2 linked regions of the Oryctolagus cuniculus genome follow. The main gene of each other region encodes a partner of the protein of the gene in region 2 in a complex. Links are inferred from orthologs where the notes say so. Each region holds a gene or a part of one and is shown on either strand. Other genes may lie near its edges.

What was found. The genes of interacting proteins can lie anywhere in the genome.
Region 1: RUVBL1 (region 2) and MBTD1 share a complex: the UniProt entries of both Homo sapiens proteins name them as parts of the nuA4 histone acetyltransferase complex. The link is inferred for Oryctolagus cuniculus from reciprocal best matches to the Homo sapiens genes RUVBL1 and MBTD1.

What each region holds. Positions count from the first base shown.
Region 1 is NC_091448.1:27,053,624-27,057,991, forward strand, and holds the start of MBTD1 (MBT domain-containing protein 1), read right to left. Parts: upstream 2,838-4,368; 5' UTR 2,508-2,837; exon of another isoform or gene 2,189-2,507; intron 1,647-2,188; 5' UTR 1,584-1,646; intron 1-1,583. Other genes in the region: UTP18 (U3 small nucleolar RNA-associated protein 18 homolog), read left to right, coding at 2,981-3,322. UniProt on the Homo sapiens protein: Chromatin reader component of the NuA4 histone acetyltransferase complex, a multiprotein complex involved in transcriptional activation of select genes principally by acetylation of nucleosomal histones H4 and H2A.
Region 2 is NC_091441.1:110,808,815-110,813,072, forward strand, and holds the start of RUVBL1 (ruvB-like 1), read right to left. Parts: upstream 2,880-4,258; 5' UTR 2,770-2,879; coding exon 2,629-2,769; intron 1-2,628. UniProt on the Homo sapiens protein: Possesses single-stranded DNA-stimulated ATPase and ATP-dependent DNA helicase (3' to 5') activity; hexamerization is thought to be critical for ATP hydrolysis and adjacent subunits in the ring-like structure contribute to the ATPase activity.

The DNA.
Region 1 (4,368 bases), on a different chromosome or scaffold from region 2:
TTTTACAACCAGCCATAAAAAATATAGCAGCGTCTTCTTTAAAAATAAAACCAGTTGTTCCTGTCTAGTATGTTCAGAATGCAAATATCTCCAAAGCCAGTCAACTTAACTCATGACACTTCATGTTTAAAGCAAGCAGGAAAACAACTTGGAACTGTATTAATTAAAACTTGAAAGACACAATTATGTAGCTCTAGTAATTTTGTTTGTGACGTAGTACTCAATTCCACACTACATTCCATTTTCTAGCTTCAGAGAAAACGCTATACCAAAGTTTACATTAGGATTAAAACTCGGATGGTTGAAAAACATGTCCCAACATAGGACACTCTGAATACTTACTCAAAAACAGATTTTTGCCATAATATGCAACGTATACACAGGCCTTGACTACAGAGTTCTATACAAATAGAAGCTACCTGTTATACAGAGGAGATGGTACAAAAAGAGACAGCTGTTTTCTTTTTAAAGACTTTTGAGTGTTGAGGTAAACAAATGAGAAATAACACCTTTAGCAACCAAAAGCAAAGCAACAGTCTACATATCTTGAGAGGGAGGGGAAAAATTGTGGTCTCTCAGACCTTTTAAACAGGCTATCAGGAACTTAGAGTAAAATGTATTCACTTGCTTTTAGACATGACTTCGACATAATATGTATTAATTCTTACTTCACCATATTAGGAAAGGGAAAACATATGTACCACCACCCCCTTCTTATGCCATCTAAACTACTGGAGGCAGCTAGCTCACAAGGAAAGAGAGCTTTAGACAATCACTGAGTGACAACAGCTGAAGCTGAACTGCCTTAACTACCCAGTGATAAATACTGGGGTGTACTCATGCGAGCAGCATTAAAATACTGCAAATTCTAAGGAAATACTAAGGTGTTGCATAAGCTGCAAGTCTCTCTATGATGGAGTTGCTGGAAGAGGGGCTCCTGGGTGGGAGACCAGCTCTGATAAGTTAAACAAGCGAGAACGCTGGCGGAGGGATGCTGTTCTGCTCAGCTCCACCGGCTGTTTCTTTCTAACGGCTCAGTAGCATCACCACAAGGCAACGCCAGGCTTCCTTAGGGAAAGCGGTTTAGGTAGCAAGCAAACACACTTCATGGTAGGGCTGACTATACCGATGACGCTCAAATGTCCAACTTCAAAAAGATGCACTGACTAGGGAGAGAAAACGGCCTGGAAACCCTCAGACTGTCATTCCCTGGTTTCCTGTGTGTGTGTGTGTGTGTGTGTGTGTAACAAAAAAGCACAACACCAGTTTCTTCAGACGTCTAAGCCAGCACGCTTGACACCGACCCGGCAAAGTTTTCAGCTGGCCCTCGCTCGCCCTCACATTCTCTTTCCTCCACTTCCCTGCCTGCTGTTCTTTCCTGGTACACAAAATATAGGCCAATGAGCAGTGGGTGGGTGAGGAGGATGTGAGAGAAAAATTTGAGAAGTTGGAAAAAAAAAAAAAAAAAAGAGCAACTTCACCAGGACGCGAATGACAGCGGAGGATCTCTAAGGACAGGCACACAGCAATGCGAACCACTGAAACACGGAAGGGGCTTTCCTGCCCGAGGCCAGACTACCTACCACTTGTCAGAGAGGCTGCACGGGGGACGGCGGCCGTGGTGACCTCTAACGTCTCCTCCGACTCTGAAACGTGAGGATTCTCAGTTCACACAGGAGAACGCCGAGCGCACCCAAGCCCACCGCCTCGGGACCCTTCTAAGGGAGCGGCCCCAAACACCACTCCCACCCCGCCCTCCCACACGTGCCCACCCCGCCCCCTTGCAACATTTCCACCTCCACGTGCAAAATGCCTCGCGGCACCTCCCCCGGCAAAGCCCCCAAACCCCGCGCCTGCGACCCCCTGGGAGGTGAGGACTCGGCTCGCCCACCCCGGGCGGCTCAAAAAGGAAAAAGTCTCAGACCCAGCCTTCCCCCCGACCCCCAACCCCCAGCCGCAGCGACACGGGGACGGGGGCGTAGAGAAAAAACTTTCTTTTCAAAATTTCCTTCCCGACTGGATGAGCCGGAGAGAACCTCGACGCGTCCCGGGCTGAGGCAGTGGGGGAGGGGAGCCCCTGAGACGTTTAACGGCCGGTAGGGGGAGGGGGCTCCGCGGGGTGAGGGGGCGTGGGGCGGAGGAGCGGGCCTGGGAGCGGGGTCAGGGAGCTGGAGGCGTGCCCCCCCACCTGGCACACAAAGCGGCTGCCGCGCTCGGCTCTCACCAGATCCTTTGTGTTTTCCATCAGGGCCTCATGGGTAGGGGTTGTCCGTGCTCCCCGAGCCCGCGGCGCCCCCTCCCCGAGCTGGGGGCAGGTGCCTCTCCCCCGGACTGCGGCGACTACAGGGGTTCCCGGCTGGGCCCAGACCGGTGGCGGCTGCAGCAGCCCCCGGATTTCCCCCCTTTAACTCGGGTGGCCCCAGGATATCAACAACATTAGCATAGCCCTCCCTCCCAGCGCGCCTGCGCCGTGACCCGCGCCCCGATTGGCCCACTTCCCCACATACCCTCCTCTCGCTCTTCCAGCGTGGGACCCTCGGCAGGCTCCGTACTCTACGGACCGTACCAAGACCGAGGGTGGGAAAAGTAACTGAGGCTGGCGTTCTGTCGAGTGGCTAGAAAGTCTGGAGGAAAAGGAGGCGTCTCATTCAGTCATCCCAGCTGGTGCTCCTGTTCCCTTAAACGTCTTTCGATATGCTCCAGCTGCGAGGTTGTGTTGGGGAAAATTTTCCACTCCAGTCATGCCGCTTACCCCTACACCCGGAAGATTGCTTCTCCCAAAGGAACTCCCACTCGGGGCGGGGCAGGCGAGGAGGAACAGAGTTACGTAGTGTGGGGGCGGGGAGGGTTGGTCACGTGGCAAGAGGCTGCGCAGGCTCCTTCCGGCCCCCGGGGCTGCGGCGGCCGCGGGAGGTGAGGCGCCTGGGCGCATGCGCTTGAGGTTCCACGTGAGCGCCTGCGTTTCTTCTCAAACTCAACGATGCCGCCGGAACGGAGGAGCCGAACGAAACCGGGCCGGAGAACCGGAGCGAAGCCGGATCGGAAGACTCGAATGAAGCCAGAACGGAGAGCCATTGTGGCGACGGGCGGGCCGCCCCGAAAGTCTGCCCTTTCATCCCAGCAGAAAGCGCCGGCCCGGCCGAGCGCGGCGGCCGCGGCGATGGCAGTCGCGGCGGCGGAGGAAGAGAGACTGCTCCGGCAGCGCAACCGCCTGACGCTGGAGGACGACAAGCCGGACGCGGAGCGGTGTCTGGAGGAGCTGGTCTTCGGCGACGTGGAGGACGACGAGGACGCGCTGCTGCGGCGCCTGCGGGGCCCGCCGGTGAGGGAGGCCGCGGCGCGCGGGCTGGGCGCGCTCGGGCGGGGCGCGCGGTGGGCGGCGAGGCTGCGGGGGCGGAGCCTCGGCGACCTGCGGCGGCGGCGGGCAGCGCTCAGGTGGGAGGGAGCCCGGGGACGCGGGCCCCGGGGGCCGCCGCGGAGCCTCCGCCGCCCCCCGGCGCGGGCCTGCGAGCCTCGGGAGGGCGGGGACCGTGCCTTTCTCCGCCCCCGGAGGAGCCGCTGCGCCGGGTATCCAGCAGGCGCTCAACACGCATTTGTTTCGCTAACTGTAGTCGCGGGCTTCCCTAGCGGCTCGGCTGCGCTCGCCCGCGCCGGAGCTGAGCCCAGCACCCCCGATTCCTGGCGGTGATGCAGGACTTGACGGGATCGCTTGGTGGGCGCGGGTCTGGGAGTCCGCGTCCTGAGCGCTCCCACGTGGGCCTGACGCACAGCAGCTTTGGAGAATGATCGCTTGTGTTCGCCCATTCAGCAAACTCGAGTATTTGCAAATACTGCCAGTGGCACAGCCTGCGTCATTAGGACCGTTAGGTTCTTTATCACTGTAAATTATATTCCTTTTTTTTTTCCTGCCCATATAGGGAGTAAAATTTTAGGCATGCTGTAGATGGACATTGGGGGGAGACACAGCAGTGGGCAGCAGAGGCAGAAGGCACCTAAATTTAAAGTACATCGGTGACAGGTGTGAGGAGAGGAGAACAGAATACCGTGGGGGGCGGGGGAGTTGGTGTGGGTGGGAAGGTTATGGAGTTTCAGGTCAGGTCGCGGGTCAGGGCCTCCCTAAATGGCTCAATGAGGGCTTGTTAACTGGAGAGCTTATCTAGCTGCAACCTCCGTTGGGTGCTTCGGGTCGAAGCTGCAGCAACCCAGTGGGAGAGGAGTTTGGGAACTGCTGGTAAAGTGCTCAGCACTGTGCAGATTTGTGTCCAGGGAAAGGAAGCGCCTGCCTGACAGAGGGGGATTGGTTGGGCTTGGAGGGTCTGAAACCAGCCGTAGAGCGAGTAGAAATCACTGGCCCCTTCTTTAGTGTGG
Region 2 (4,258 bases):
ACAAGTGGGGGCAGTGATTTTTAGCCTAGAATACAGAGAGAAACTCCAGGGGCCCACACAGCACCTGAAAAGAGAAACAAAATTCTATCTATATGTCCTTATGCACATTTTTTCCAAGAGGCAGATTAATAGCTCTCATCAGATTCCCAACTAACCCACTAAAGGTTCAGCATCAATGATACTGGGGCCAGTGCCGAGGTGCAGCAGATTAAAGCCCCGGCCTGCAGTGCTGGCATCTCATATAGGTACCAGTTTGAGTCCCAGCTGCTCGACTTCTGGTCCTGCTCCCTGCTAATGTGCCTCGGAAAACAGCAGAAGATGGCTCAAGTCCTTGGGCCCCTGCACCCACGTGGAAGACCCGGAACAAGTTCCTGGCTCCTGGCTTTGGATCAGCTCAGCCCTGGCCGTTGTGGCCATTTGGGGAGTGAACCAGTGGATGGAAGATCTCTTTTACCTCTCTCTGTAACTCTTTCAAATAAATACAATAAATCTTATAAAACAAAAACAATCCCTGATACCAGCACCTAGATGGCCATCAGTGAACTGTGCAAAGCCAACACTGGACGTGAGGGTAAATCTGTGGCACCACTAGATCCACCGATGCCTTCTGAATCCCCAAGATTAAAGTATTCAATTCCCTGTCAGTGTATTCTACACACACACACACACACACACACAAATGGGTTACCAGTCCTCAGACACTGTAGAATATTTGACACAAAGGTGTAAGGATGAGAAAGTCACAGTACTGAGGACCCACATCCCAGGATCACATAATATAAGCTTTGTTCCCTTGAATTAATAACTGATACAAAACCTAAAAGGTACCTTCTCCTTGCCTGAAGGAAGGCAGTGGTCATACTGTTCCCTACTGACAAGATCTTGTGAACGCGTTTGCTCTCTCTATTCCTTGTGGACTGTGAAGTACCTCAGTCACACACTATAGCAGCCCCTAAAACGTGTGTGCAAGGACTGTGTGTGCACGTGCTAGATTCACTGCTGCTTCAATGAGCAGAGTGCCCGTTACAGAGCCTATTAGGTATTCTTCAGATGCTATATTGCTAAAAAGGATGGAGACTTGCTGTGGTCTCCCATATAGTCTTCATATGATCCTCAGCACTGGAGCTCCTGGGAAACTCAAAATAAGGCGGAGACGGCTTTCCAAACTTTGCACTTGTAACTCTCTTACAGACAGAACCTCTTCCATGTATTCTCCTTCAGTTTACCCTCCAGCTTCCCTGCAGTGAGACACACGGTGAACCCTGACATCGAAAAAGAACCGAACAGGCCTTAGAGTCCATGTTGGCTCTCAGACGAGCACACTGAGCGCCAGAGAGGCTGCCGACACCACCAGCCCCATACAAGAACCTGGCAGCAAAGGTGGGCCTGAGAAACACAGCATCAGAGTTCGGAGCGTGGATTCTGCAGCCACACAGACCTGAGTTTAACTCCTGGCTCTACCGCCCACCAGCACGGGGACCTTAGCCCACATAACCTCATCGGCCCTAAAGGGTTTAGGGGTGAGCTGTATGGATGTTTGCCATCTACTCTGAAATGTCAAAGTGGACTGGCAGCTGGATAGATGAATAGATGCGTGACAAAGCAATGGCAAAAATATTAATTGTAGATTTTTGGGCAGATATCTACTGAACGAGCCAACATTTCCTACGTTGAGGAATACAGTACTAGAGTGGGGGAGCAAAATTATTAGACTGCAAGTGAATAACAAGACAGTGGGAACACAGCTGCTTAGCATGGTGCTTGGCCCAATCCATGCTAGCTGCTTGCAGTAACAGGTGCTTTGTTGAGTCAGGGTCAGACGTTTCCCTACTGGAAAGATGATGCTCAAAACAGAAACCAGGGGCTTGTCTTTGGCCCTTTCCATGAGCAGCATCGGGCTGAGAGGCATGTCTTCACTTCATATAAAGTGCAGGGTTTTGTAGCTGTCTAGCCTCTAGGGCAGGGCTCTTAGCCTGGAGCGCAGGGGGCTGAGAAAGGGCGGCAGAAACACATGGACGTGCGAATGCCAGCTTTACCCTTTAAACTACAGTGGCAAGTGGACTAGCGGCCTCTCCCATCCTTATTTTTTTGCCGGTAAAACAATATTGTAGGGGAATGGACTTGGCATCCCTGTCACTTTAATAAAATCAGGACCGGAGCGACCAAGAAAGATGCTTGCAGGAGTGGGTCAATCAGATCACTCCTCTCACAGCTCCCGGGCCTGGGAACCAGAGCGAGCTTTCAAACTCCTACAGTTTCCCTGCCATGCCGACAAAACCCTGCACAGAGGACCCCTACCAGGACACAGTCATTTTATCGGCCCACACGTTTATCCTCTCAGCTCACCGCACGGAAATGTAAGCGCCGGGAAAGCAGGGACCTTTTCTATCCTGTTCCCCGCCGCATCCCGGCGTCGCCAGCCGAGGCCTGGCACGCAGCCGGGAGCGCCATCAACACCTGTCGGTGAACTGGCACAAACCGCCCCCTGCTCCCCGCGGCCCGTCGCCTTTCTCCCACCCCCACCCTGCCCTGCGGAAATGCGGGGCAGACCCCCGGCCCCCGCTTCAGCGGCTGTGGCGCCGCAGCGGCCCTGCCGGAGCCCCCAGCTCCCCGGTCCGCCCGCCACACCTCTCGCGCGTTCTCCTGGCCCACGAGCCCTGAGGCCGCCTGCTTGGCCAAGCCGCTCTCGTCCAGCCCCAGCCCCTTCACGTGGCTGTGGGAGGCGATGCGCTGCGTCTTCGTGGTGCTCTTCACCTCCTCAATTTTCATTTTTGCAGGCGACGGGAGCCAAAACCAACGTGGAAAATCAGGACCTACAGCTGCGCGCCTGGCGCCCGGGTAACCATGCGGCTGTTACCACGGCGGTTTGCAAGGGCCCGCCCAGGTCCTTGCTCTATTGGCGGAAGCGGAAACGCCTCCGTTCCCCATTGGTTTAAGGCCGCGTCCATCGCGATTGCCGGTGGAACCCCGCCCATTTACTTCCGGCTGTGTCACTGGGTTGAATTTCCCCCGAGCCGCCACTTCCTGCCCCGGCCGGTGGCGGGAAGGCAGAAAGGTAAGTCACGGTGCGAGTTTGGAGGTGGTGCTTCAAATCTGGATTTTAATCGTTCCATCTAATCTATTATCATACTTAAACGTCACGCCTTTCCGCGGAGCTCAGGTTATGGCCTCAGTTTGGACATGCAGGAACTGAGGCGAGCTTAAGCTTTGACTTTGGGTTGGTTACTCCGAAGTTTTCCAACTCCCAAGCGTTTGCACGTGCCTGCGAAGGTCCCGCTCAGCCAGCCATTCCCAACGCTGCTCCGCTCAGAATCCTCCGTGGAACTGGCTTCTCTGCTTCTCTCCTCCACCCTCCTCCTCTGCTTAAGTTGCCTGCGAATAGCGTTGCACAGCCCTGTAAGGTGGTATAATGCCTAACGCAGATAAAAAGGCTCATGAAAAAAGGTCCAGTGACCTGCGCTGGAACACACAGCGATGAGCAGAACGGGAAACCCCAGAGGAGACTGAGCCCGTGTAACCCTCAGCCCATCCCAGCACCTCAGAAAAGACCATCACTCTCCTGTCGGCTTCATAATGGATTCAGCACCACTGGGATGGAAGCTTCTGACGTTCTTCAGAGCCCCGAGGGACGGGGGCCAGGTCTTGGAAGGCTAAAGTTGTTAGTGGTAGTGTGTGATTAATCAGCCCTAAAGACACCCCCTCAGGACACCCAGAGATGCTCAGCGTATCATTGACAGGCCTGGTCGTAAGTGTTGCATAAAGAACTGTTCCTTTCAGGGTGTGGAAGGAAGGCTTTCCACCAACGAATATCAAAGTGAGGTGCTCTGTAGCAACAACCTGTGTGTGTTGTCCAGTGAGGAGGAAAGACCGGTTTTACATTTATTATTTTAAGCCCTCAAACTCTTCTCTCTTTTGGCACTGAGCAAAGAGAAGGATTTCCTGGCAGCCAAAAGAAGGGGAGGATGCAGAGGTTTTTAGGGCTCAGAGGAAGCTCCTGGACCACTTGGTCCAGTGGCTTTCAAAGTATACTCCCTGGAGTTATAGAATCGTTTTGTGGCCAGAATGGGTAGTGAAGGGGAAGGCTGAGAATTTAGGACACTACCTCCATTATACCCCAGCACCCACTCCTTGTTCCACCAGAGCTGCTTTGGTTTTTTATGCTATTGACCTGGTCAAAAGTCACTGATCCATCCTGGCATTTTCATATTACAGGTGAGGAAACCGAGGCCACAGGAGAGGAGAGGATTTGGCCAAGGTT